Saccharomyces cerevisiae S288C: one gene and its partners. The gene in region 4 interacts genetically with the main gene of each other region. Each region holds a gene or a part of one and is shown on either strand. Other genes may lie near its edges.

What was found.
Region 1: mutations in DMO1 (region 4) and WHI4 together harm fitness more than expected from each alone (negative genetic interaction), as found in Saccharomyces cerevisiae (2 studies listed by BioGRID).
Region 2: mutations in DMO1 (region 4) and PNT1 together harm fitness more than expected from each alone (negative genetic interaction), as found in Saccharomyces cerevisiae (2 studies listed by BioGRID).
Region 3: mutations in DMO1 (region 4) and DBP3 together harm fitness more than expected from each alone (negative genetic interaction), as found in Saccharomyces cerevisiae (2 studies listed by BioGRID).

Annotation. Positions count from the first base shown.
Region 1 is NC_001136.10:51,417-60,058, forward strand, and holds WHI4 (Whi4p), read right to left. Parts: upstream 4,931-8,642; coding exon 2,981-4,930; downstream 1-2,980. Other genes in the region: GTPase-activating protein GCS1, read right to left, coding at 1-757; septin SHS1, read left to right, coding at 1,029-2,684; HBT1 (Hbt1p), read right to left, coding at 5,849-8,642. UniProt on the Saccharomyces cerevisiae protein: Has a partially redundant function to WHI3, a dosage-dependent modulator of cell size.
Region 2 is NC_001147.6:818,892-826,939, reverse strand, and holds PNT1 (Pnt1p), read right to left. Parts: upstream 5,918-8,048; coding exon 4,646-5,917; downstream 1-4,645. Other genes in the region: PAC1 (Pac1p), read right to left, coding at 1-555; YOR268C (uncharacterized protein), read left to right, coding at 1,008-1,406; putative serine/threonine protein kinase HRK1, read left to right, coding at 2,073-4,352; RBL2 (Rbl2p), read right to left, coding at 6,166-6,486; DSE3 (Dse3p), read right to left, coding at 6,782-8,048. UniProt on the Saccharomyces cerevisiae protein: Probably involved in mitochondrial export. Confers resistance to the anti-pneumocystis carinii drug pentamidine. May act by the removal of pentamidine, or its damage targets, from the matrix by an active-transport mechanism.
Region 3 is NC_001139.9:357,711-366,261, reverse strand, and holds DBP3 (RNA-dependent ATPase DBP3), read left to right. Parts: upstream 1-4,402; coding exon 4,403-5,974; downstream 5,975-8,551. Other genes in the region: 60S ribosomal protein uL30 RPL7A, read left to right, coding at 266-276, 736-829, 1,298-1,927; HNM1 (Hnm1p), read left to right, coding at 2,346-4,037; KXD1 (Kxd1p), read right to left, coding at 6,162-6,818; pyruvate transporter MPC1, read right to left, coding at 7,234-7,626; YGL081W (uncharacterized protein), read right to left, coding at 7,923-8,551. UniProt on the Saccharomyces cerevisiae protein: ATP-dependent RNA helicase required for 60S ribosomal subunit synthesis. Involved in efficient pre-rRNA processing, predominantly at site A3, which is necessary for the normal formation of 25S and 5.8S rRNAs.
Region 4 is NC_001142.9:644,161-647,976, forward strand, and holds DMO1 (Dmo1p), read left to right. Parts: upstream 1-2,965; coding exon 2,966-3,316; downstream 3,317-3,816. Other genes in the region: JHD2 (histone demethylase), read right to left, coding at 144-2,330; ATP2 (F1F0 ATP synthase subunit beta), read left to right, coding at 3,447-3,816.

The DNA of each region.
Region 1 (8,642 bases), on a different chromosome or scaffold from region 4:
AGAGGCCCCATCCTCTGCTCAATGTTCCCAAAGGATCAGCTTGAAAATTTTCCAGGCTCAAAGTATTGCTGGACCCTGCAGACCGTTCTTGTGGAGGTTTTGCGGGTGTACTTCCAAAGCCCTGATATTTACCACCTTGAGAAGGGGGCAAATGATCTGGTCTAGATTGGTTCTTCTTGCCCAGCTCAGCAAAATAAGCTTCGTTCTTCTCCTTTTGAAAATTGGCACCATTACTAGAGTTTGCTGGTGTTGCAGATCGACGGTTCTCCAGTGGTGTCCCTTCTCGACTTTGAGCAACACCAGGCGTAGCGGATGCAGCGGTTTGAGAGGTTGCTGATAACTTGGAAGCATCAAAATCCAAATGCTCACGCTCTTCAAATACTCTATCTTCGCAAAGACATGTTAACTTTTCTTTATAATCCTCTGCGACGGGGTTATCGTATTTCACTTTTTGTGGTAAACTCAGGTCAATATTATGCGACTTGAACCATTCAGTCAAAGGTTCGTTACCACCTTTTTCCATACGAAGAAGTTCCTCCGGTTTAAACTGATCCATAGTGATAGATCTTACAAAAGATATATGCACACCAAGCCCTCTATGGATACCGGCACATTCAAGGCAAATGAAAGCTCCAAACTTAGGCGTGGCCCATTGTGGATTTGGCGCACCACAATCCATACATTTCTTATTTGCACCAATCTTTTGCAATTGCAAAAGACGCCTGCGGGTATCTGGGTCCACTTTCCAATCTGACATGCTCTATAATCCGCGATAAAATTGCTCAATTGGCACCATTTAAACTCAGAATCACGTCCATATTTCTGCTTTCATTCTTGATATAGTTGTGCAATTTGGTTCTTGACAAAAACTGGCGTTGCTTGCGGGTAACCGCGCGATTTTTAAAGTGCCAAACTGCGAAAAGAATATAACAAGCTTTCGAGCAAGATCAATGTACCCAGCAAGTGAAATAATAAAACAAGAGCCCCAAAGATCTGCTTATAATTGCTAGAAAAATATATTATTAATCATGAGCACTGCTTCAACACCGCCAATTAACTTATTTCGTAGAAAGAAAGAACATAAACGTGGGATCACATACACAATGTTACTATGTGGGCCAGCAGGTACAGGAAAGACCGCCTTTGCTAACAATCTATTGGAAACTAAGATCTTTCCGCATAAGTATCAATACGGTAAATCAAATGCTAGTATTAGCTCTAACCCAGAAGTAAAAGTTATTGCTCCGACAAAAGTTGTTTCATTTAATTCGAAAAATGGGATTCCATCTTATGTTTCTGAATTCGATCCAATGAGAGCCAATTTGGAACCAGGTATTACCATCACCTCCACTTCATTAGAACTTGGGGGCAACAAAGATCAAGGAAAGCCAGAAATGAACGAGGATGATACCGTGTTTTTCAACTTGATTATGACGCATGGTATAGGCGAAAACTTGGACGATTCGTTGTGTTCTGAGGAAGTTATGTCGTATTTAGAACAACAATTTGACATTGTTTTAGCTGAGGAAACCAGAATTAAAAGGAATCCGAGGTTTGAGGACACCAGGGTTCACGTAGCATTATATTTTATTGAACCCACTGGACACGGTCTGAGAGAAGTCGATGTAGAGCTCATGAAAAGCATCTCCAAATACACAAATGTACTGCCAATAATAACAAGAGCTGACTCATTCACCAAGGAGGAGCTAACTCAATTCAGGAAAAATATTATGTTTGATGTGGAAAGATACAACGTCCCAATTTACAAATTTGAGGTTGACCCTGAAGATGATGATTTGGAATCCATGGAAGAGAATCAAGCCTTGGCATCCTTGCAACCATTTGCTATTATAACTTCAGATACCAGAGATAGTGAAGGTAGATACGTTAGGGAGTATCCGTGGGGGATAATATCAATCGACGACGACAAAATTTCGGATTTGAAAGTTTTAAAAAACGTCCTGTTTGGTTCTCACTTACAAGAATTCAAAGACACCACGCAAAATTTGCTTTACGAGAATTACCGTTCCGAAAAACTATCGTCCGTGGCCAACGCTGAAGAAATTGGTCCTAATTCTACAAAGAGACAGTCAAATGCTCCAAGTTTAAGCAACTTTGCCTCTTTGATAAGCACTGGTCAATTCAATTCTTCTCAAACTCTTGCAAACAATTTGAGAGCGGACACACCAAGAAACCAAGTAAGTGGAAACTTTAAGGAAAACGAATACGAAGACAATGGCGAACATGATTCAGCAGAAAATGAACAGGAAATGTCTCCCGTGAGACAGTTGGGTAGAGAAATAAAACAAGAAAATGAAAATTTGATAAGATCTATCAAAACAGAATCTTCACCAAAATTCTTGAACTCTCCGGACTTACCAGAGCGTACCAAGTTAAGAAATATTTCAGAAACCGTTCCATATGTCTTGAGACATGAAAGAATTTTAGCAAGACAACAAAAACTGGAAGAGTTAGAGGCCCAGTCAGCTAAAGAATTACAAAAAAGAATTCAAGAATTAGAAAGAAAAGCACACGAATTGAAATTGAGGGAAAAACTAATAAATCAGAATAAACTAAACGGTTCATCATCTTCAATCAATTCTCTACAACAGAGCACAAGGAGCCAAATTAAAAAAAATGACACGTATACTGATTTAGCCTCTATTGCATCGGGTAGAGATTGAGTTGTATCTGTACAAAATCCAAAGCTGAGCAAATAAATAAATAAATAAATGTATAAGTTACCGAACGGGGGTATTTTTACTTTTGATCAAAAATTTATGTACCAACTACAAAGTTTCCTCAGCACAGCCTTCAAGAAGGGAACACACATACAAACAGTGTCAAATAATTGTAGGGATAAATTTAAATATGGCATAAACTAAATAAGTAGAGCATGAAAAAACTGCAAAATCCAAAAAGTAAAAACGAAGGTCAGAAAGTAAAGCAAAAGAAAATTAATAAAGCAATACTAAATCTATCATGATTTCCCGTAACTTCCATTAAAGCTGTAACCAGATTTACTCCTACTGTTTGAGCCTCTAACGCCTAATGGATTTTTAGAGAAGCTCAACCTGATACCTCCTTTGTTGTTGAGGGAAGGGCGGGGGTGAGGTAGTTGACTACCATATAATTCTGCCAATGCTCTAGTGGCAAAGCTAACATCCTCAAATTCTACAAAACAAATTGGACCATGGCCATGACCGTTGCCATGACCGTGAGAGTTCATTTTATTCCTGAAGGATAATCTACGAAAACCTTGCTGATTAGAAAACAATTGCCTTAATTCTTGTTCCGTGGCATCCGGAGGTAGATTACCCACATAAAGAGTATTACAAGGAGGATTTTGGTCCGCGGGATTGGCTGGTGGTGGCACCTTGGCTAGTAGTGATAGGTCAGCCTGTGAAATAGTTGTGGAACCTGCCACATTTGTTTCGTTATTTTTCGAAAATGCAGAGGCAGAAGCTGTAGAAGAACATTCTTTCTGTCGTGATATTGTACTGGTGTCTTGTTCACTCACTAAAAAGCCTTGATTCACCTTTTGGTTGTTGAATATTGAAGACCCGTTAGGAGCAGAAGATTGTGGGTGGCCATTTTCCGTTTGGAGATTCAGGTCCAAATTGGAAGGAACATTCGAAACGCTCTGCTGAATACTTTGTGTCTTAGTTGAAGCATTAATTTGGTTCAATAAGTGATAATGCGGTAGAGAAGTCGCGGAATGTATTACTCCTGAATTGTTCAGATTAGGTTGTGATTGAATATGTGGAACATCCTGGCTAATTGAATGGTGGGATGGAGGCAACAGATTAGACTGATGATTTTCTTGGCTAGATAATTGAAAAAGAGGAATATTAGCAGTTGAGGAAGCATTCCACTCCATCACAGGCGTAGATGACATCGGAGGCTCTTGTAAAGATGCACCAAATGAAGAATTACCAACATCATTAACTAATTCATCACCATTCCAAATACTTTCATTTATTTCATCCTTTTCTAGTAGCAAAAGTGACTTGCCAGCGTCCTTCTGAGGTGGCATTCCTGCTGGAACTGGTGTGGTGGTTACGTTTGATAAATCATGTTGTGAGATGCTATTTCGTAGAAAGGGTACGGATTCTTTTCTTTGAGAGATTGTTTCCAATCCGAATGGGTCATTGAATGAGAAACGGAGGGATCTCTCTGAAAGTAATGAAGGCCTTGGCTTGGCCGCTGAAGGCCCTAATGGAGAGGAACTAGTTTTTCCATATGATATAGTATTAAAACTTTGATTTTGAATTTCATTTTGCGCACTGGACGACAATTGGTAATTCTTTGGAGAACTATTTGTAGTGCCAGATGAAACATGTTCTTGAAAACTCACTGGAAGCTGCGTTTGTTCATTTACTACGTCAATGTGAGACCTAAAGGGGAAACTAGGCCCAAAAATCTCAGACTTCGAGTTTAATATATTAGCATAATGGGTTACTAAAGAAAGGGATCCAAATTTGACCACAACGACTTTTTCATTGTCATTAAAGGGTTCTCTATCATCCCTTTTTAGTTCTATACTTGACACCCCAGTTGCTAGTGAAAATATACAATAACACTCTCTTAGTGTAATGTCTTTTGGCAAATTCCTCAGCAAAAGACAGTAGGGGCCAACATCCACATCATGTGGGGCTAAAGAATTGACGTCATTCCCGTTCCCTTTCCCCGTGGACATGGTCAAATTATGAAGCATAGAAGTCATAATAGGTTCTTTTGCAAAACCTTGCGGGTTCTCTCTTTTAATGTTAGTCTCGCTGTTGCTCCTAACTGCGGAAAAACTATATGCAGTTGGCATGGGATATGTTGCCTCCTTTGATAATGGAACGGTTTCTGAACTAGAACTAAATGCCCTTTCTATAAGAAATTTGGATTCGTTTAAATTCGTCTGATTATGCACTAATGACATTGTTAATTGAGAAACCTTAAGCGTTATTTTTCAGCGTAGATGTGGCAACTAAGGTTCCTGTTTTCAAAAACCCTGCTTTTTTGAAAAATGCTCGAAAAATAAAGAAAGAAGTCAGTCCCTTGTTTTAGCAAAGTGATAATTTGTGAAATATGACACAAGTAGAAGATAAACCTTTACACGCAGAAATAACAGCGGATTATATTTTGATTCTTAGATTTCCTAATTTCGTGAACTTTTAACTAAGAAGGAAAAAACAATTGAGATGAGATCCAAATGGGAGGAGTTTTGAAACAATTGTTTGCTATTATTTCAATGATTTAGTGTTGCCACCAGATGGGTCTATTTTCTGTAAAACTACCGGTTCGAGGCTCCTGCCGTAACCTTAATTGTACTTTTCTATGATTTAATCCAAATAACCATTCCATTCCTCTTTAAGTCTAAGAAACATTAAAAAACAAAAAACACCACGTCCGGGTAATGAAAATATAACGCTGGGTAATGCACGTGTTGATAATTACATCGTTTTTCACTAATATCGTACCAAACGAGATGTTTGCAGAAAGAACAAACCAATATTTTAAATAATCAAAAATCAAATTAGCTATTATTTCTCATTTGGTGATAATAATATATACATACATATATATATATATATATAAATATATAGGTATATATATAAATAACCTAAGACAAGTTAAATGAGTATAAAAAACCTTGAACGTAAATGAAAAAAAAAAAAATACTAGTAAATTGACAACATAAAAGACAAAAATAAATGAAAGAGGAAAGTGGTAATAAAGTGGTTAAAATTTGTTGTAGTTGTAGATAGGAGGAGTCCGCGTAGACAGTTATTCAAATTCAATTGAGGAAGAAAAATAGATTTCAAAGAATACTGGGAATTTGTTAATCGAGAAGTGTTTAAATTTCACTCCTAAATCCAAAAGTACCGCCAGAAATACTTTTTCTCACTCTACCCATGAAACTTTGTTTACCAGCCTGTTCCTCACCTTGCTCGTCGTCATGGTAATCTTGCTCACCCTCATCGGAACCGTACTGATGATGTCTTGGAGTGTGCTCGGCTGAATGAGTAGAATTATTATAGTCGTAGTCAGACCCTTTTGAAGAATTCTGTCTGCTGTGACGGTGATGATTGTGATGATGTTTTGATTTTCCGGAACCCATTGAACCCACCGACACTTTCCTTCCCTGAGAAGTTGTTTCATTATGAATTGAATAGGAAGTGGTTTCTGGGTAGGTGCCCTCAGATGGCTTTTGAGAACTAGAGGTGTTGGTGTCTTTAAATCCGTATGTTGGGACATGTGGGTCAATCAAACTAGGGAAATTACCAACTTCGGCAGCATAAGCGTTTGAGGCGTCGGCACCACCAAGGTCGGTTCTACGTTTGTTCTTCAAATCTACTTCACGCTTGTAGCCCGGTGCGTCTTCCTCTAAAACTTTCGCATTCTTATTGACATCAATATTATCGTCGCTAGAATATTCTTGATTTTGGGAATTGCCGCCAGAACCGTAACTGGCCTTTTGTTCTGATGATGGTTCCTGATCGTGAGTCATTCCAGTAATATCTTGTGATTTGGCATATGTAGGGTCCGCATTTTTAATATTATCGTAAGCAGCTGTTTCAGCATCCCCTGATTTGGAGTATGTAGTGTCTCCAGATCTGGAATTATCAAAGGCAGCAACATTAGCGTTTTCGAGATGAGTGTCTGTATTTTTACTATCATCAAAAGGGTTCGAGCTGAAGGTCTTGGATTTTGCACCCATCCTTCCGGTTGTATCTACGTTTCCAGTAGTACCTGTTTCCGGATTATTGGTGAAATCCTTGGCATCGGATGCAATATCCTGTGTTGTTTTTGCTCTTCTTGGCTCAATTTGGTCAATAAAATTAGAACGCGTTGGAGTTGGGCCTGATTTATTTTTGCTTAAATCAGATAATTTTTTGTTACCAGAAGTATTCGAGTATTCGTAATTGCCAAGACTCTCATCTCTTGCAGTCTCCATACCAGCACGGTTAGTGGTTTGCCTTGGAGACAACGGGTCTTCATCTTGTTTTTGCACTGATTTTGACAACGTATCAGGTTCAAAAGTACCTGGGATTTTCTCTCTCTGCTCATAATTGTAATCCGATGGTTTTCCCTGGTACGCTTTCTTAGAATACAAGTCGTTTTTCTTTGCATTTGAGTAGTCGTCAATATCATTCTCGTGGTAGTCTTCAACATCATCCAAATAATCCAACCCATATTGATGAGGTTTAGTAGAATCTTCATTCATATCTTCGTCCTTCATAGCAGGTGATACAACATTGTTTCGGGTGGTGGCATCATTAGAAAGCCCGGACCATTCTGCTTCATGACGGGGTGACATGTCAATATTGTTGTTCGTATTTTGAGAACCAGCTTGTGAACCGGCAACATATTGCAAGTTATCCCTACCATTATCATTATACTTCATATGTCCTAATTCGGTTCCCGCTTTAGGCATATTCTGAGATCCAGATGTACCGCTGTCGAATTTCTCCTTCATACTAGAAGGTATAACAACATCCTGCAGATTCTTATTTTTACCAGCGCTGGAACTATATTCAATTGGACCCCAATTAGAATCCGTCTTGGATTTAATGTTTTTCTGTTGATAATCATCGGCGGATTCCAGAATGTCATCTCTTTCAATGTTAAATTTTTCAGCCGCTCTTTCTGATATATTTTTATTATCAACCTTATTCTTTTCTGGGTGTTGAATGTTTTTATTGCTATCATGATAAGAAGGTTGCTGGCTTACAAAACCACTTGTCCCGACTGCTGCTTTGGGTTCAGGTTCCATAGTTTGCTGTTGGATTGCATCAGAACCAGAAACTTGGTCATTTTTCAATCCAGTTTGTTCGCTCTCATCCATCTTCACGTTCTGTGCAATTTCTTTAATTGTATCTTGAGGAGGACCAGTCGCAGTGTTGCCAGAGTACTTTCTACGATCTGCAGACTTCGAACTTGTGTCCGTGTAGACACTAGGGTCGACAGCGTTCATACCGGAACTAACATTACTCTTTGGGCCTGTACTTGTGTAAACACTAGGATCAACAGGGTTCACATCAGTACCAGTCATGCCCCGGAAACTACCAGGTATGACATCTCGATCTGAGTTGGAATCAGTGTTCGAATAACCCTTCGTAGCTGAGGAGTTATCTTTAACACTTGTATGTCCATGAGTAACTGAAGGGTTAGTTTTAGTACTGGAATGATCCTGTGCAGCAGCGGTGGATTTAGGACCAGTGCTTGAACCAGAGTGACCATGGCTAACAGGGTGGGTAGTTTTGACGTTGATATGTCCATGTGTAGTTGCAGTGGCTGATGGACCAGTATTCGCTTTAGAATGCTCATGAGTATTGGTAGGAGATGTGGTTTTCACACTGGCATGACCATGTGTGTGAGTGACAGGGGAAGTGGTAGCACTGGAATGACCATGCGTGTGAGTAACAGGAGAAGTGGCAGCTTTGGAAGTGCTGTGGTTATGAGTGGTTGCAATACTTGGATGCCCTGCATCACCTTTGGAATGTCTATGCGCAGTGGGGGACGCCTTTATATTTGAATGTTCATGGCTAGTGGGAGGTGACGTTTTCACTTTGGATTGCTCACTTGTAGCAGCGGGTGTCGTTGTTTTGACATAAGAGTATCCATGGGTAGTAATAGTAGCATTAGGG
Region 2 (8,048 bases), on a different chromosome or scaffold from region 4:
AAATAAATCAAATGCGTATAATTTGCCATGATCTGTGGCCACAAACACTATAGGCAAATTGGGATGTAGTTTGACGGAAGTGACAGATGATTCAACATTAATTAAACAGCTTGGTAGATTTCTCGGTATCCATTTCAAAACATTATGTGCGCTGGTGCCGTTACTGGTGGTAGGTTTGAATTGTGCTAGTTCTGACACTTGAGTGTTCAAATCTTTAATCTGAGATACAAGGGTCTCTGTATTCTGCTCCAATTCAATGATTTTTTTTTGTAGTCTAACAATTGAGTTCCACTTCTTCGGTAGCAGTAATTCATCAATGTCTACCATACTTTCGTTACTGGTGTCATTGTTACTGATGAATTCTTGCCGGTCCACTGATTCTTGCAACAGAAAACCTGATAGAGTTACAATTGCATGTCGAACACTTTCGTAATCTTGAGCATGCTCATGTCGTACAGTTTGTTTGTAATTCCAATTCAAATATCGGAGGACACTTTTATCGAGTTCATTTTTCTGTGTATCTGTTAAAGGAAGCTGTTGCTGCCAGTTAGTCATTTCTATTTTTTTCTACACTTACGCACGCACAGGTGTATACCAACAACCGGACGACGAACCTAGCTGCTTTATCAATGGCTATCTGGGCGACGATGGCCCAATACTAAGATTACCTATTACGTTTACACTCGCCAAAAATAAGAAACAAGTGCAATATGCACGACTTGCAAGCTGAAAATATTTCAAAACACCCACATCCCACAGCACAAAACCAGTGCAAATTCCATAAAGGGAAGTGAATTAAATTCAATGGTAGATGAAAGCACTTTTTCAGGAACCGTTTTAAGATCTAATTGTAGTTTACCAAGATATACTAAAACGTCGTTACTCGTTTTATTTACCTACCATTAGCTAACCGTTGCCATGGCTACCGTCCGGGTCGCCAGCGGCTGCTACTGCAAAAGTTGACAACGAAAAAGAGAAAAAAAAAATTCTCGGCACGCAAGACCTGAATGGTTTTTGTTTTCCCCTTCCCATTTTTTTCTTATGGTTTTTCCAGTTTTCTAGAAGCCGGAAAAAAGGCAAGCTACAAAATGTACTACGCGGAGCCAGAATTAAAAACCACGCGGACGGGACGGGCCGTGGCTTGTGACGCCGGATCCCCGCGTATAATCCGTGTCACGCTAAAGGACAAAATCGGTTTATCCGAGCGGTTTACGGGAAGGGTCTTTTGCTATCTCGCAGTAGCGTGTGCCTGGTTATCCCAATACTACCACCACACCTGTGCTTTTTTTATCTTGTACGTGCATGTATGCGTATGTTTTCTTTTTTTCCGTTGGTGCTTATTCGCTACCGTCTCGTTGATCCATGAATCACAAACACAAGCCGGTTCTGCTTACTATACAAAATAGTCTTGTGTCTTGATTCATATATCCGTCAATAACGTAGCCTTTCTTTATTTTCCTTTCGCTCACCATACTCTTGCATTAGTGTATTTTGTCTTTTATATCGCCAATAAGTGCCCAACTCTTCTACCTGACCCCTACGTCGTCGCCGCCCCTTTTCTTTTTCTTCGCCTAGTTCTATTTGGCTATATATTTCAGAGTGACAAATCTTTAAGAGAGACAAACTGAGAATTAGCATATAGAATCATTCATACAACTGTTTACAAACAAGTAAGCCCAAGACAGTTCCCAACCGCTTAAAGAAGTTTTTCCTAGAGGGAGCAAAGTTCGTTTACATTTCACACACACAGTTTTTTTTCACTTTTTTGGGCCTCTTCCTTTTCCCGTTTTTTTCAAAAAGCTTAGAAATCTTCTTCACCTCCTATTTTTCTAGAATCGTGAAGAATTTCCAGATTTAACAGTTTTCCACTTTTTCAATAAGGAAATAGTAGGAATAATAAAAAAAGGATAGTAGTAACGATATACGTCGACTTTCCAGACTGGTCTCGAGCCGGAATTAAATACAATAGCAGCGTTTGACTACCACATTGTAGCTCCGCTAGAATTGATCGAAAACAAAAATAATAACACTAATAATTATAATAATACGGTAGAACTATTTCTCGTATAAAGATGCCTAATCTATTGTCGAGAAACCCATTCCATGGTCATCATAATGACCATCATCATGACCGTGAAAATTCGTCTAATAACCCGCCACAGTTGATCAGAAGTTCTAAATCTTTCTTAAACTTCATTGGTAGAAAACAAAGTAATGACTCACTAAGAAGCGAGAAATCTACAGATTCCATGAAATCTACCACAACCACTACAAATTATACTACAACAAACCTTAATAACAACACCCATAGCCATTCTAATGCAACCAGTATCTCAACAAACAACTACAATAATAACTATGAAACAAACCACCACCATAATATTTCTCATGGGCTCCATGACTATACTTCTCCCGCCTCTCCAAAACAAACCCACTCCATGGCAGAATTGAAAAGGTTTTTCAGACCTTCTGTAAATAAAAAACTATCTATGTCTCAACTTCGTTCCAAGAAACATAGCACCCATTCCCCCCCACCTTCAAAATCAACTTCTACAGTTAATTTAAATAATCACTATCGTGCCCAGCATCCTCATGGCTTTACAGACCACTATGCTCATACCCAGTCTGCTATACCGCCAAGTACCGATTCTATCCTATCTTTGTCCAATAATATTAATATATATCACGATGATTGTATTCTGGCTCAAAAATACGGGAAATTGGGTAAGTTATTGGGTTCCGGTGCCGGTGGGTCCGTTAAAGTTCTTGTGAGACCAACTGATGGTGCTACTTTTGCCGTCAAAGAATTCAGACCAAGGAAACCGAATGAGAGTGTGAAAGAATATGCCAAGAAGTGCACCGCAGAATTTTGTATTGGTTCGACTTTACATCACCCAAATGTTATCGAAACTGTTGACGTTTTCTCTGATTCTAAACAAAATAAATACTATGAAGTTATGGAGTACTGTCCGATTGATTTTTTTGCTGTTGTTATGACAGGCAAGATGTCTCGTGGCGAGATCAACTGTTGCTTGAAGCAATTGACTGAAGGTGTTAAATATTTACATTCTATGGGATTGGCACATAGAGATTTGAAATTGGATAATTGTGTCATGACTTCCCAGGGTATTTTGAAATTAATTGATTTTGGTAGTGCTGTTGTGTTCAGATATCCTTTTGAAGATGGCGTAACGATGGCTCATGGAATCGTGGGTAGTGACCCTTACTTAGCGCCGGAAGTGATTACCTCCACCAAATCTTATGATCCTCAGTGCGTCGATATATGGTCTATTGGGATCATATATTGTTGTATGGTGCTTAAAAGGTTTCCATGGAAAGCCCCTAGAGATTCTGACGATAATTTTAGATTATATTGTATGCCGGATGATATAGAACACGACTATGTTGAATCTGCCAGGCATCACGAAGAGTTACTGAAGGAAAGAAAAGAAAAGCGTCAAAGGTTTTTGAATCACAGTGACTGTTCCGCCATCAATCAGCAACAACCAGCTCATGAATCAAACTTGAAAACAGTTCAAAATCAAGTTCCAAATACTCCAGCATCTATACAGGGTAAAAGCGATAACAAACCAGACATTGTGGAAGAAGAAACCGAAGAAAATAAAGAAGATGATAGCAATAATGATAAAGAAAGCACGCCAGATAATGACAAGGAAAGTACCATCGATATTAAAATAAGCAAAAATGAGAATAAAAGCACGGTAGTTTCAGCTAACCCAAAGAAAGTAGATGCCGATGCCGACGCTGATTGCGATGCTAATGGTGACTCTAACGGCAGAGTGGATTGCAAGGCTAACAGTGACTGCAATGACAAAACGGATTGTAATGCTAACAATGACTGCAGCAATGAATCGGATTGTAACGCTAAAGTTGATACTAACGTCAACACTGCTGCCAACGCTAACCCTGATATGGTTCCCCAAAACAATCCACAACAACAACAACAACAACAACAACAACAACAACAACAACAACAACAACAACAACAACAACACCATCATCACCAGCATCAAAATCAAGACAAGGCCCATAGTATCGCTTCCGATAATAAATCGAGTCAACAGCACAGAGGACCTCACCATAAAAAAATTATTCATGGCCCATACCGTCTATTACGTCTACTACCACATGCTTCAAGACCTATCATGTCCCGTATACTGCAAGTAGATCCAAAGAAAAGAGCAACCTTAGATGATATTTTTAATGATGAATGGTTTGCCGCCATTGCTGCCTGTACCATGGATTCAAAAAATAAAGTTATTAGAGCGCCTGGCCATCACCATACATTGGTTAGGGAGGAAAATGCTCACTTAGAGACCTACAAGGTTTAATACGAACTACTCAATTATTTTCACTTCTTTTTTCGATTAATTTAATTGTATTTTCTATTTTTTCTTATTTTTTTCTTTCACTTTCCAATTGAAACGCTTGACGAAAATCTATATACTATATATACGGAAGAGTATCTATCATATTATACATACAATATAGAGTAACATTGCCCTTTGCTCCAAAAGCAAGAAACATCACTGAATTATTGTTTGAATTTGCAATTAGAAAAGTTTAAAAGAGTTTTTGTTTTAAACAATATGTACAGCATAGATAATGTCATGAATATTTACATCTATTGAATATCTTTCGTAGCTACCAATTCTGAATTATATTTTAACAATGATATATTGTTGACACCCCATTTCTCACTGAATGTATGCTTTCCGTTTAAGGATATAGTGTCATTATATCTTAATGTCCAATAAAGAAACAATCTTTTCAGTAAGATTTCTTTCCCTAACGTGTCATTAACCATCTCATTCAAGTCATCGCCCATGTGATAAAGTTTTCTTTCAAGTATACAGTTAACCAATTCTCTATCACTTAGCGCGATTTTAGTTTTCTCAACATCAGTGTTGAGTATACTCTGCAACAGCAACCAGTCATCGATAAACAGATACTGGTAAATTTTTTCTATCTCATTGCAAAGTAGCTTCTGTAATTTTAACTTTTTATAAATATACAGTTTCCAGTTTGATATCATACTTTGAGGAAAGCTTGTCAGAAAATTATACAAATTCTCAATAGGAACTGCATATGGTGGCTCATACTTAATTGTACCTTGCTTAGTAAACTCTAAGGGACCCAGACCGTAGTTACCTTGTGTGCTTGTTGTTCCCTTGATATATGAGTTGGAAAGCTTCTTGTATCCACCAGGAGTTAAACAATTGTACGGACAGACACGTGGAAAAAAGGTAAAGATCAATACACTTACCTCCTCAAATATGAATACTAAGGTGAAAAATACAGGTAATTTCCAGATTTGATCTCGTCTGATCAGTTCCACCAGTGTTTTCCTATTGATTGAAAGTGGCCTTAATGGGGCTTTTGCTGAAGAACTTGTAGGCAATGATGAAGACGATAGTCTTGTATTGATTTCATGCATTTCTATTTCCCGTACTAAGTTAGCCAATGCACCGTTTTTTATGCTGAATTTCTGCTCTTCGTTTCGAGTATCCCAGAATACTTTTAACGTGTTCTGAATTCCTGTTTTATAGCTTTTTAAAAGATACAATCCAATTCTAAACCAACCTGTCATGAATTTCCTCCATTTGCCAACCTTAGTATCCAATTTTACCTGTTCCAAGATCTCCTGCTTGGGGAACTTAGTCATTGGTAGGGATCGATTAGAGTTTAGAGTAGCGGCCAGAGGCTCTGGAGAATCGGATGGTGTTGTCTTCGCATTCCAATCGACATCCTGTACTATCTGTAGTGAACCTAATTTGTAACGGCTATTCAACGCTTTAAATAGTGGTGCCTTCACTAAACCGTGCAATTGAATAGAATCGCTTTTTATCACCGATGGTGCTATGTATTTTCGTACCAGTGCAACTCGAGAATCCATATCGATGGCATTAAAGGTGTTAACTCAATTAAATAGATTAATAAAGTTCTTTTTAAATATAGAGTAAAATGTTCTTATATCTCGTCACTGTATCAACAGCCGTCTTCCACTTTTCTACTTTTGCATATAATATTCCGTGCATTTTCTAGCGAGATTTATTATTCATCCGCAACAGGTTTGTACATAATAAAGTATAAAAACCTGCATCAAAATAAATGCGAAAAGGTAAGAAAAAGGTTATCTATAGATTATTTAGAATCGAGTAATTCCTGTGCAGACGTAATAGCGGATCTTGCATCACTGACATCTTCGGTACCCTGGTAAGTTTTTAGAAATTGTTCTAAATCCTCTTTAAATTCTCTAATCTTCTCATATAAAGTAGGTAATAATCTTTTTGTGTCATCAAGGACCTCCTCCTGTTTCTTCAAGTCATATGGGTCAACTGACTTGTCTTCTTTAAGTTTTGCCACATGTGCTTCCTGATCTTTCAGTTCTTGTTGGTAGTACCCTTCCTCCTTAGTCAGCCTCTTCAAGGCCTTGACTTTTATATCCAATTGTGTGGGTGCCATTGATAGTGAAATGTAGTTTTCTTGAGTTCAACCTGTTGTGCTTTATGCTCAAAAATGCCCTTATAAGACGCACTGTATCTAACTGCTCTGTTTATATGTAGCCATAGTAGTTCTTCATTATGATCCTTTGCGGGTAATACTACAAAAGGTGCGACATAAGCGGCCATTTATCGTTGAAATTGTGACACTTTTCTATTGATGACCACCTCTGGTGCAAATACACAATGTGTCACCGCTCATGCCATTATTCTACTTATATACGTATGATTTTACTTGAAACCTAGAATAAATTTTTTTATTCGCTGTAAATGCTACTGCTGCAACTTGCTATTTCAATGCAGTCAATTTTTTTTTGAAGAATATTCAAAGCCCTATCCTCGTCATCGTTGTCATCTCCATCATCACTGTCATCGTCAAAAGTCATGACATGCATTATTTTAGGCGGATCGAGAATTACTTTTTTTAATTTTCTTATAGAGAGTTTATTCAAAAGCGTATTGCACGATGATGTTTGTGCAACTTTTGGAAGCTTGTTATGTATATCCAGATCTTCCACTGATACTGTTGAGGGCAAAGTCTCCGCAGCAGTGCAATAGCCTTCCTCACTAGTGCTTTCAGACACAATGGATGATCTCATTGTCCTCTTATTCGTGTTCCATACTATACTTTCTACTTCGGACAATTCCTCATCTGAATTCGATTGGTCAGAGTATGTACTGCATCCAGACGTGGTGTATTCTGGGCTAGAAATGACATCGTTTAATGTGTTAGAATTGACAGGTTTCAACTTTGGTGTTGTTGACGAAAACAAAGTCTCTGTGTCGTCAGGGCAGACGACATATGGTACCTGAAATGCCTCATTTTTTTTAGCTATTTGTTTTGAAGCGCATATATCGATAATTCTGTCAATTTCTGAATTTAGGGCAGTAGAATCGCTTGTAGAAACGTTTTCATAGGCTGATAGAATTTCGTCAAACAATATTTCACTACCGCTTTTGCCATACTTATTTTTTCTACAGCAATCTTGTGTCTGTGTTTGCATTAGGGAGACCGGATTAATAGGAGTAAGGGCTTTTACAGGCATTACAATTGGGGCCGGGCGAGAGACAAACACTTTATCAATAATATGATCCGAATGTGTCTTATGCCCTAAAGATTGTACTACTGCAGGCTTTGACAGCGTCGGCCTACGTAAACTTTTTCTTTGAATTGGTAGTGATTTTACCTTCTTTCTTTCTCGTAATGGTAGAATCGTGCTTTGAGGACAAACTGGTCCCTTGGGAACTTGCATGTCAGTAAATTTTTTCTCTCTAATCACCTCAAGTTGGGAGCGTGGCCTCTTCTTGAAATCATGTAAGAACAATTCTGGAACAGACTCTAACCGTTTCTTCAGTTTCAGTGTACCCCCAAATCTTTTAGACAACCTGTTACCACCGTTGCTGGTACGTAAAACCTTATCATCTTCATCTTCAAAATCTTGTGGTATCGGTGGAATATACTTCAAGTCATCAGCTGTTAATGTTAGCGAAGATGGTCTGACTGCATCAACATTCTTTTCAATT
Region 3 (8,551 bases), on a different chromosome or scaffold from region 4:
CTGATCATATAAACACCCACACATATCTATAAATCCGTACCTTTCCTATATATATATATATATTTTTTCAAATTTTGTCTGAAATTCTTTCTGCAGGTTTGTCGCTGCCGGACGCGACTTCTGAGAATCATTGCCATCTGTATCTGTATCACTTTGACAACTTCATCCTTTCTGAAATATTGAAATAATCAAGACACTAGATCTGCCTTGTATTGTCTTCGGTTCATATAAATCCAAATAACCAACCAAGCAAATTAAGATCACAATGGCCGCTGAGTATGTATACGAAATCGTCTATTTTATTACTATTTCCTAAAGTATCCAGAGAAGTATACTAGTTTCCGCAAGTTACGTTGAGAAAAAGGAGCAATTCTGCTCTAATAGCATTTGCACTCACACTTACATTTATCTTCAACTTGTGACTATTCACAAGATGATTTTCCGTAGGGGATTACCTTCACAGGGTCAAAGACAATTTTAGTTGATGAATTTGAGGAAAAATTTGAAATATCTTGATTGTTGCCAAAAATTTCATCGCCGACCTTGATTAGAATATTTTCTCAAATTTTCATTTCCTAAGTGTCTCTGTTTCACTCCCTTCATTCGAATGAAAAGTGGTGTTTTCAATTCGATGTAACTTCGTAGAAAAAAGTTTTACTTGATGGTCATACAAACCTAATTCATTCTATTTTCGGTTATGCTAACAAAAATATTTTATTATTTGTATTATTACAGAAAAATCTTGACCCCAGAATCTCAGTTGAAGAAGTCTAAGGCTCAACAAAAGACTGCTGAACAAGTCGCTGCTGAAAGAGCTGCTCGTAAGGCTGTATGTTAAACTTTTGCTTACATTTATATTTTATGCTGCAACACATTTTCTTACTGGGATATATGTGAGTTCACGTGCGTCGCCAATTTTGATAAGTATCATTCGAACAGTTGCAATATTCTCAACACCTGTGGTATCATTAGGCTAATGGACTATTTGTTACGTTCTGTTTGTTTTCTCATTTTATGATGAAAATCCATTGTATCCCAATACATATTCGACTAGTCATTGACGATGCTGTCGTAACTTATCACCATCTTTCGACTGATTATAAGAAAAGAAATAGAAAGTAAAATAGACCAGAGAGTTAAGGTATTAAGGTTACAATTATTGCCGTGTTTCCAGTGTCAGAAAAACCATTGAGTGATAATGCCGTGTAACAATTTTTAGCATAAAATACTGTGTTTTCCATCTGGTATTTTTTTACTAACATCAATTTACTGTTTTTTACTTTTTATTTTCATTTAGGCTAACAAGGAAAAGAGAGCCATTATTTTGGAAAGAAACGCCGCTTACCAAAAGGAATACGAAACTGCTGAAAGAAACATCATTCAAGCTAAGCGTGATGCCAAGGCTGCTGGTTCCTACTACGTCGAAGCTCAACACAAGTTGGTCTTCGTTGTCAGAATCAAGGGTATTAACAAGATCCCACCTAAGCCAAGAAAGGTTCTACAATTGCTAAGATTGACAAGAATCAACTCTGGTACATTCGTCAAAGTTACCAAGGCTACTTTGGAACTATTGAAGTTGATTGAACCATACGTTGCTTACGGTTACCCATCGTACTCTACTATTAGACAATTGGTCTACAAGAGAGGTTTCGGTAAGATCAACAAGCAAAGAGTTCCATTGTCCGACAATGCTATCATCGAAGCCAACTTGGGTAAGTATGGTATCTTGTCCATTGACGATTTGATTCACGAAATCATCACTGTTGGTCCACACTTCAAGCAAGCTAACAACTTTTTGTGGCCATTCAAGTTGTCCAACCCATCTGGTGGTTGGGGTGTCCCAAGAAAGTTCAAGCACTTTATCCAAGGTGGTTCTTTCGGTAACCGTGAAGAATTCATCAACAAATTGGTTAAGTCCATGAACTAAACTGGTTGAAGTCACATTACATATAACTACTTATTTTATCTAAGTCCTATATAGTTCTGTTATTCACTAGTTTGTATATTGTACCTCTAATTTATCTTATAATTTCGTCAGTAATGACTTATAATTGGCTTTATTTTCTTCTCTTTTTTTTCACATGCGCAGAACCTATATAACGAAAAAAAAAAAAATGAAAACTGAAGATAAGCGGCCTTGACTTCTCTAAACTGCCGATATTTCAACGAAAGTTAGCCAACTTATTTATAAAAGCCTTGAATACCAACAATTGGAAAGAAGGTGTCTGTGCTTATCATATATAGCTTGCATAAAGAAAAATTATAATATCTTCGAACTTCCATAGAAAGAATATCTTTCAGTGTTAACTGGCTCATTTACTCAGAAATTAGTATTTTGAAGAACGATGAGTATTCGGAATGATAATGCTTCCGGTGGCTATATGCAGCCGGATCAATCTTCGAACGCTTCTATGCACAAAAGAGACTTAAGAGTTGAGGAGGAAATAAAGCCATTGGATGATATGGATAGCAAGGGTGCTGTAGCAGCAGATGGTGAAGTTCATCTAAGAAAGTCATTTTCGTTGTGGTCAATTCTTGGTGTTGGATTCGGTTTGACTAATTCCTGGTTCGGTATTTCTACATCGATGGTTGCAGGTATATCTTCTGGTGGACCCATGATGATTGTTTACGGTATAATTATTGTTGCCCTGATTTCTATTTGCATTGGTACCTCGTTGGGTGAATTATCTTCCGCATATCCGCACGCCGGTGGTCAGTTTTGGTGGTCTTTGAAGCTTGCCCCTCCTAAGTACAAAAGATTTGCGGCCTACATGTGCGGTTCATTTGCTTACGCAGGATCCGTGTTCACAAGTGCTTCAACTACGTTATCCGTTGCTACCGAAGTGGTTGGTATGTACGCTCTGACGCACCCTGAATTCATCCCAAAGAGATGGCATATATTCGTTTGCTTTGAATTGTTGCATTTGTTCTTGATGTTTTTCAACTGTTACGGTAAATCCTTACCTATCATTTCATCTTCCTCTCTATACATTTCCCTACTATCCTTTTTCACAATTACAATTACTGTATTGGCATGTTCTCATGGAAAGTTCAACGATGCAAAGTTTGTTTTTGCCACATTTAATAATGAAACAGGTTGGAAGAACGGCGGTATCGCCTTTATTGTCGGTTTGATTAACCCAGCTTGGTCATTTTCGTGCCTTGACTGTGCAACCCATATGGCGTTTGAAGTTGAAAAACCAGAAAGAGTTATTCCCATTGCTATCATGGGAACAGTCGCCATTGGGTTTGTCACTTCCTTTTGTTATGTTATCGCTATGTTCTTCTCTATACAAGATCTGGACGCTGTCTTGTCTTCTACAACAGGCGCCCCAATCTTGGACATTTATAATCAGGCATTGGGTAATAAATCAGGTGCGATTTTCCTGGGTTGCTTGATTCTATTTACCTCTTTTGGTTGCGTCATTGCTTGTCACACTTGGCAGGCAAGGTTATGTTGGTCATTTGCCAGGGACAATGGTCTTCCATTATCCCGTTTATGGTCGCAAGTTAACCCACACACTGGTGTACCTTTGAACGCTCATTTAATGTCATGCGCTTGGATAACCCTCATTGGCCTACTTTATTTGGCTTCCAGTACGGCTTTTCAGTCCTTAATTACAGGTTGTATTGCATTTTTATTGTTATCCTACATCATTCCGGTTATATGTTTACTTGCTAAAAAGCGTAACATAGCTCATGGTCCATTCTGGCTTGGAAAATTTGGATTTTTTTCAAACATTGTTCTTTTGGGTTGGACTGTCTTTTCTGTGGTCTTTTTTTCCTTTCCACCAGTTTTACCTGTGACAAAGGATAACATGAACTATGTTTGTGTAGTTATTGTTGGTTATACTGCGTATTCGATTCTTTACTGGAAATACAAGGGTAAGAAGGAATTCCACGCTTTAGAAGAATCTGAGAACGAACAGGCTGAATATAGTAATAACTTCGATACCATTGAAGATAGTCGAGAATTTTCCGTTGCGGCCTCTGACGTTGAACTCGAAAATGAACACGTACCGTGGGGAAAGAAGTGAATTTATAGTGTTGATCAGTCGACCGTTATTTATTTTAAGTATATTATTTGCATAGAAGTAATAAAAGTGAATTTTTTTTAATGGTTTGTTAAGCCATTTTAGACGAGGGACTAAGATATTTCAACCTAAATATCCCTCAGGCTTTGCGCTCTTGAAAGCGATGTGACTGTAATTCAAATTTCTTGAAATATTTTTGCGGGAAAAAGATGAAAAATTTTTCACCTCATCGCATAAGAAGCAAATAAAAAAAAAATATTAATAATAGATAGGCAACAATATAGCAGCTCAGAGATATAGCTTAACTTCATTTTACAGCCTTTTAACGAAAGCATAAGTATTAACAGTTTGATATATAGGGGATTAAAATGACAAAGGAAGAAATCGCAGACAAGAAGAGAAAGGTTGTAGATGAGGAGGTAATTGAAAAAAAGAAGAGTAAGAAACACAAAAAGGATAAGAAAGACAAGAAGGAAAAGAAGGATAAAAAGCATAAAAAGCATAAGAAGGAGAAGAAGGGTGAGAAGGAAGTGGAAGTACCAGAGAAAGAATCTGAAAAGAAACCTGAACCTACTTCTGCAGTGGCTAGTGAGTTTTATGTTCAGAGTGAAGCACTAACCAGTCTTCCACAATCTGATATTGACGAATATTTCAAGGAAAATGAAATTGCTGTTGAGGATTCTCTGGATCTAGCCCTACGTCCGCTATTATCATTTGATTATCTTTCTTTAGACTCTTCCATTCAAGCAGAAATTTCCAAATTTCCAAAACCAACGCCTATTCAAGCCGTAGCCTGGCCATATTTGTTATCTGGTAAAGATGTTGTTGGTGTTGCTGAGACCGGTTCTGGTAAAACATTTGCTTTCGGTGTTCCAGCTATCAGCCATTTAATGAACGATCAAAAGAAAAGGGGCATACAGGTTCTAGTCATTTCCCCAACTAGAGAACTTGCTTCCCAAATTTATGATAATCTGATTGTATTAACTGACAAGGTTGGTATGCAGTGTTGTTGTGTTTATGGTGGTGTTCCAAAGGATGAGCAAAGAATTCAGTTAAAAAAGTCACAAGTGGTGGTTGCTACACCTGGTAGATTATTAGACCTATTGCAGGAAGGATCTGTTGACTTATCTCAAGTTAATTACTTAGTATTAGACGAGGCAGACAGAATGTTGGAAAAAGGTTTTGAAGAAGACATCAAGAATATTATCAGAGAAACTGATGCGTCCAAAAGACAAACTCTAATGTTTACCGCTACCTGGCCAAAGGAAGTCCGTGAATTAGCTTCCACGTTCATGAACAACCCAATCAAAGTATCTATTGGTAACACGGACCAACTAACTGCTAACAAAAGAATTACACAGATTGTTGAAGTGGTGGACCCACGTGGAAAAGAAAGAAAGTTATTGGAACTGTTGAAAAAGTACCACTCTGGTCCAAAAAAGAATGAAAAGGTCTTGATTTTTGCTCTTTATAAGAAGGAAGCTGCTCGTGTTGAAAGGAATTTGAAATATAACGGGTATAACGTCGCAGCTATCCATGGTGATTTGTCCCAGCAACAAAGAACGCAAGCATTGAATGAGTTCAAAAGCGGGAAGTCTAACTTGTTACTGGCCACCGACGTTGCAGCAAGAGGTTTAGATATACCAAATGTTAAGACAGTTATTAATTTAACTTTCCCATTGACTGTGGAGGATTATGTCCATAGAATCGGTAGAACTGGTAGAGCTGGTCAAACAGGCACAGCACACACTCTGTTCACTGAACAAGAAAAGCATTTGGCTGGTGGACTGGTTAACGTTTTGAATGGTGCCAATCAACCTGTTCCTGAAGATTTGATAAAGTTCGGTACTCACACTAAGAAGAAGGAACATAGCGCTTATGGTTCATTCTTTAAGGACGTCGATTTGACTAAGAAACCAAAAAAAATTACTTTCGATTAGGGGTTTTTTCGTTTACTTCAATCTTGGATTTTCTTCTCTAATAATAGCCAATCGAGAGTCGGAGATTTATTAACAAAACACTGTATATTACTATTATAACTGCCCACTTTCATTTATCATTAATATTATTTAAATTGACTCTCACATAGTATACATATTTTCTAGAAAAAAAATACGATTCAGTATATCAGCAGTCATGGTCTTCATTCAATCTGCGCTCAAGAATTTTTTCTCTTGCCTGATTAAACTCTATGGGGAAATCGACACGCAAAGCAGCGTTTAAATAGTCGATGTTCTTTCTTGAAGTTTCTAAATCACGTTTTATTTTTTTTGAAGTAGCCTCACCATTTTCAAACTTCTCTTGCAGTTGAGTGAGCCTGCTCTTCATTTCATCAATATATTGTTTAAGCTCTAGGCTTTTCGAATTTATAACAGCGGAGGTTTTGGTCTGTAGAGAAAGTGCCTCTGAGAAATCAGCAGAATCAATAGATTGTTTTAGAGAATCAAAAATATATCTAGAAACGTCAAATATTGGACCAGGATCCTGGGCATCCGTGGGTAGCAAATTGCTTGACTGAGGGATATCGTTATCTAGGAACAAATCTTCGTCAACGTTAGATTCATTGTCCATTTCATTTTGCTCCACAACATCTGAAACGTTACTTCCATCACTATCGAAGCTACCACTTGAGTTGCTAGTGGTGCTGATCGAATCATGGAAAGAGCTGGACATTTCCTCTGTTATAGGAATCGCGTAGGATTGAGAATTAATACTGGGTGTTGAAGAATGAACAGCCGAAAAAGTCTCTTCATCATCATTTTCCTCCGATATTCCGGTCACCATTGTTCTTCACTAAGTGTTGGTAACCATTATTTTGCCTCTCTTATTATTTTACTATAATATAGCTGCGACTTTTCAGTGAAAAACGTTCTTTTTTAACTTTTTGAATGGCTGAATATAATCAGTAATACAAAGGAGATGAGAGGGAAATTGTCTTGGATATAAAAGAAATATTTGAATAAAGACATAATAATTATTTAGGTTATTTAGAATATGTCATCTTATGTAGTTTGGTTCAATACTAACTACTAAATAAAATGAAACTCATAGAGATAATGGTTCTATAGCATGCATATATGAAAAGGAGAAGAGGTAAAAATGAGAGAATATGCATGAACATATCCATCCTCTTAATCCTTGCTTGTTCTTTTTTATGTTTCCATCTAGTCACCTACTTCAGGTTCTTAGACTGCTCGTTTTACTGTTTACCAGTTTTTTCTTTCTCTTTCCATTCCTTATCTAGAGCTTTCTTCTCCTCATCTGTTGTGAAATACGTGTATTTGAGAAACCTATAGCCTTGAGCTAATTGCGCAGTTTCATTAATAAGGTGGCATCCAAACAGTAAGTAGTTTTTGGGTGATACTGAAAGAGCATACTTCATGAAAACACCTGAATAGGTAACTAAAGCAAAAGTCATTGGGCCAGAGATTAGTGTAGGGTCTTTTTTCAGATCATATATAGCAGCAATTGGGATACCGAAATTTGATACGGGACCCCAGAAGTGTGTTGTGAAAATATATTTCAAAGTTTCTTTATTGATGTATTTTTGAAGGAATGAGCGTGCTGCAGCGCGTTGAACCGGTTGAGACATTCTTTTTGATCACAGTGCAATAAAATCTATACGTATATATGTAGATGTATTGACGTTTGCTGATTGGCAAGTGAGTGTTTAAATAGATTATCGGTGGAGAAAGGTGGAGACCGCAGGTTGTAGTGGCTATTCCTTCTTTGCCAGAAAGCACTTGTCATTTCGCCTCGGTTAAAGCGGGGGGCCGTCGCAAAAGAGAACTTTACAGGCCACGTCCAGAGCAAAAAACTCCACTTATTTGACTAGCCATGAAGCTATAATACCACCCAGCAATATAGAACTGGGTTATAAAATTATATTTAATTCGATAGTAGGCGGTCAAAAATCAAGATTACTATTAGTAGTAACCACATACTATTGGAGTGCTGAGGGGTAATAATTTTCTTGTTTTTCGAGAAGCAAGTAAGCGTCTTCTTTATCTTCGTCCTGCCCTTTATTCTTTTTACTCTAATAATTTCAAGTTCTATTTCTCCTTCCTCATCATCCCCTTCTTCTTTTTCTTCTTCTTCTTCTTTTTCTTCTGTGGTGTCTGTGTCAGTGCAAACTTCGATTTCTTCTTCGAAAGAACTCGTTTCATGTATTTTTCTATCAAAGTTACTGCAGATCTTCTGGTCTTGCTTGCTGCCTCTTTTTCTCAACGAAAGGATAGAAAACCTACCACCTCGAGTCAATATGGTGTTCGTTTCATGACACTCATCTGCAACTTCCGTTTGCGTACTCGCTTCCGACAATCCGTACCAACTTGAATCGCTATCTTCTGTGGATGTTGCAGAATGAATAGGGAAAGATGACACTGTATTATTCTTTCCAAATGTTACATTTGTAATAGTGCACTTTACGATTTCCCTTGCTTCATCGAAATACTCAAGTTCAATTCGGAAAATTAACTTGGCGGCTAAATGATGGTTGTCGCGAAAAGGATGATTAT
Region 4 (3,816 bases):
TTACACTACCATTCAATTGTCTCTCTTTAAAGATTGATCGACATTATTTTCTTTACTTTTTTGGTGTTTTCGCGCTAAAAGTGGCGTGCTAAATGCCAAGTATTATTCTAAAAAATCATTACGCCATACACAAATATTGAAGACTATCTATCTAACTTAACACCAACTTGCTTTATTAAAGAGTCAATATCCTTCAAAGACTTAGTGAAATACAATTCATCGTCAATATAAGGTTCTTCACCGTCGCTATTGTTCAAGTTTTGTATTGATTTTAAGTAATCCTGCGTACACAGGATACTCACTTTACTGTCCGTCGTGGATAGTTCATTCCACTGCCTAATACTTAAATGGTTTTTCTTGTGTCTTTTATACGTTCTAATTGAATCATAGTTATTCTTTCGCAATACAAAGGCTATTGAACATATAGTCTTACATTGGGAACAAAATATATCGTATTCCTCATCTTCATCGTTTGGATCAGTATGCACCTCCAAAAGAGTTGTCCGTGGTACAATGGCCTGAATTTTCCGTATGCGTTTTAATTCAGTATTATAAAAGACGATCAATGAAGAGTAACATTGCCTAACAAAAGCATCATTGAACAATAGAGTATCTTTATTGTACTTGTCCAAAACATTGATCATTAAATCAAACATATCAAAAACACATGCTTTCTGAGTTAATTTATAATCCGTAATCGCACCAAATCCATATGGTAGCCAGAAATCTATAGTAAAATTGACAGCTTCATTAAAATTATAACCTGTATTAAAACCAGCATGGTAACATTTAGGAAACGTGATAATATATTCGTTGGGCTTTTGCACAGCTTTGTACACAGGAATACCTGATTTCTTGAAATTTGGATCGTACGGAGATATTAAAGTCACTAGCTGATGCAGTAGGTCTGGTTGTTTGATAAATAAGTCTGGTGACATATCATTTAATAGATCGTTGAATTTCGTACATCCCGATTCGGGAATGCTGTACCAGACCTTAGGGTCACCTTCATGTTGATAGTTAGCACTTAGGGTATACTGATCTTCCATATGCCAACAAAATGTGGAAAATAAGGAGCCTATGTAAATCCAAGGAATAGTCATGCCAGAAATATTTCTTTTAAATAACGGTAATAGCGAATTATGAGCCATAGGCAAGTTAGTTAAATTCATAGGATGATCGCAATATTTGAGGTAGTCTATCAATTCGTCCCCATTTATATTTTTGGGTATAAATTCTCTCGTCGGAAAGCCGGTAATTTGACCTGGCAATTCGTTATGTATGTCAGCACCGTATTTAACTGTCGTTAATGAACTGCGACGATTCTTGGTCACTAAGCTCCAAAACATCTCTTCCAACTCATCTATAGACAGTTTTCGTGCTGGTAATAACCTTGAATTTTGACGTTTACAATATTCTTGAAACTCTGGTAGAGAATAGTCATGCGTGTCCTGAGTGAATCCGTAATATCCGTTTCCGACGATACAAGTGTTACAAATCCAATCGCCAGAGGGAACACGTTCCAAAGGTGGTGATAAACAATATATATGGAATGGTTTGTCACATGAATCACATAAAATTGTTCTTTTTGGATCATTTGTCTTGCGACAAACAATACAAGCATCATCATCGTCCTCCTCAAAATCCGACCCAGAATTCGAATCTGGCCCAAGATCGAAATCGTCCTCGTCATCACTTAATAAGGATTTTGGATACTGGTCAGCATGCAGCGCCGTGTGCACGTTCTCGTTCAGTGAATGAAGAAATATGTAGTATGAGGCAATATATTTCTCAAAAATTTCCTTTAACAAGCCGATTGGTACGTTGAATTTTTTAGAAATGGTCCTCCATAGACTGATGTCGCCTCTTAATTGGGAAATATCTCTAAATTTCAATTTTCGCCTGAATGACTGTGTAGTGTCAGTAAGTGTCCGATTGTCTTTTATTAGTTCAGAGAAAACGTCATAAAAGTACACTTTTTTTTTTAGTATTTCCGATGCATGAGTAGAATCTGAATATTCTACAATCGTATAAGGTTCCCTAAGTATAAGTTTCGATGGATCCTTAACGGATCTTTTAAAATTATTTAACTGTTTCATAAAAAATAGCCTACACCTATTTTTCAGGTCTAGGTTCTCCAGATTTTGAATTCTTGGTTGAAAAGTAAAATTTTCCATATCAATAGAAAGTGGCGGGCAGAACCCGTTTGGTGGTACGACCTTGACCATACCATATCGTACACCAAGCCTTTTAATGTGGGGGTTAGAGAGATAATCGATCGGATTTTTGAATTCTTGTTCCGTTGGATACAGGGCAGGAATTTCCTCCATGATAGTGATACGTTTTTTGTGCAAGATGAGATTAGTTAATATGATCTAGAGGTAAAATTGACTAAGTAGTCAGATCTTATTCTACATTGAGCCTGCGTTGTCAACATGCACATCTCTGTCTCTTGGGATGATAATTTTTCAATGATGATTCCAGGGTTACTTTAACGTTACACAAAAGAAATTAATTAGTGCGGCTGTTTCTGTGAGCGGGGCAGTAAGTCCGAAGCCCTTGATATTAGCCCATACCCTACACATTTTACTCGTTTGCCCTACATCAGATAAAATACTGGCCCTAAGCCCTCCTAATCTCTTCTGGTTACACCTAGGGTAAAATATCTGCCTTTCTTTGCATTCAATGCGTTACTTCTATATCACGAGATGAGCATACGGATCGTGTATAATACTAAAAAGAAAGCTCCTGAAAGAGTTGTGACAAGCAAGACTGTATACTACTCCTTCTACGAAAGTTAGTTCGAGTTCTTGATGGCACTTGGCTATTCTATTTCTTGAACCTTTGAGAAAGAACAGAAGTAAAAGGCTGTGTATTCTGCTACATGAAATACAGTAGTAGTCACAGTACAAAAATACTCTAAACCAGTAATAAAGCCACATATATATGTATTTCCTTTCACGTGATGCGCTGGGATGTTATCATCTTATACGCAATTAGCCGCCCATATGCCACCCGGCGCACCGGGTCGCACACACACCCCCGTGATTCGCGATATATAGCGGCCAATCAACGGCGACCTCCAAGCGCGTGCCGGGTGGGCCCCTCGCCGGCCAAGCAGCGCAAGGATATTCCCATCTTCGAGCTCTTAGATACAACGCTTATAAAGAACGCACTTTTTGCATTAACCTCTTTTTTGTATTACAGAACAAACATTTTAACTTGCCCTTTTTTAAACTTTCTTTATCTCTCCAGGACAGGCCAATTGGATAAATTTTGCAAAGATCAAACAGTAACACAAATTTTAGCAACCTAAACCCCCCTCATAAACGAAGACAAAAGTGCTCCTCCTCAAGTCAAATTTGTCTTTCTTTTCTTTCATTTTTTAGTCTGTTGTTATCCAATTTATACTGAATCTTTGAGAGAAAACAAAAATAAAAAAAAGAATGGTTTTGCCAAGACTATATACTGCTACATCCCGTGCTGCTTTTAAAGCAGCCAAACAATCCGCTCCGCTTCTATCCACTTCGTGGAAAAGATGTATGGCCTCAGCTGCTCAATCTACTCCAATCACCGGTAAAGTTACCGCTGTCATTGGTGCCATTGTTGACGTTCATTTTGAACAATCAGAGTTGCCCGCTATTTTGAACGCTTTAGAAATTAAAACACCTCAAGGTAAGTTGGTTTTGGAAGTTGCTCAACATTTGGGTGAAAACACTGTCAGAACCATTGCTATGGATGGTACCGAAGGTTTGGTCCGTGGTGAAAAGGTTCTTGACACTGGTGGCCCTATCTCCGTCCCAGTTGGGAGAGAAA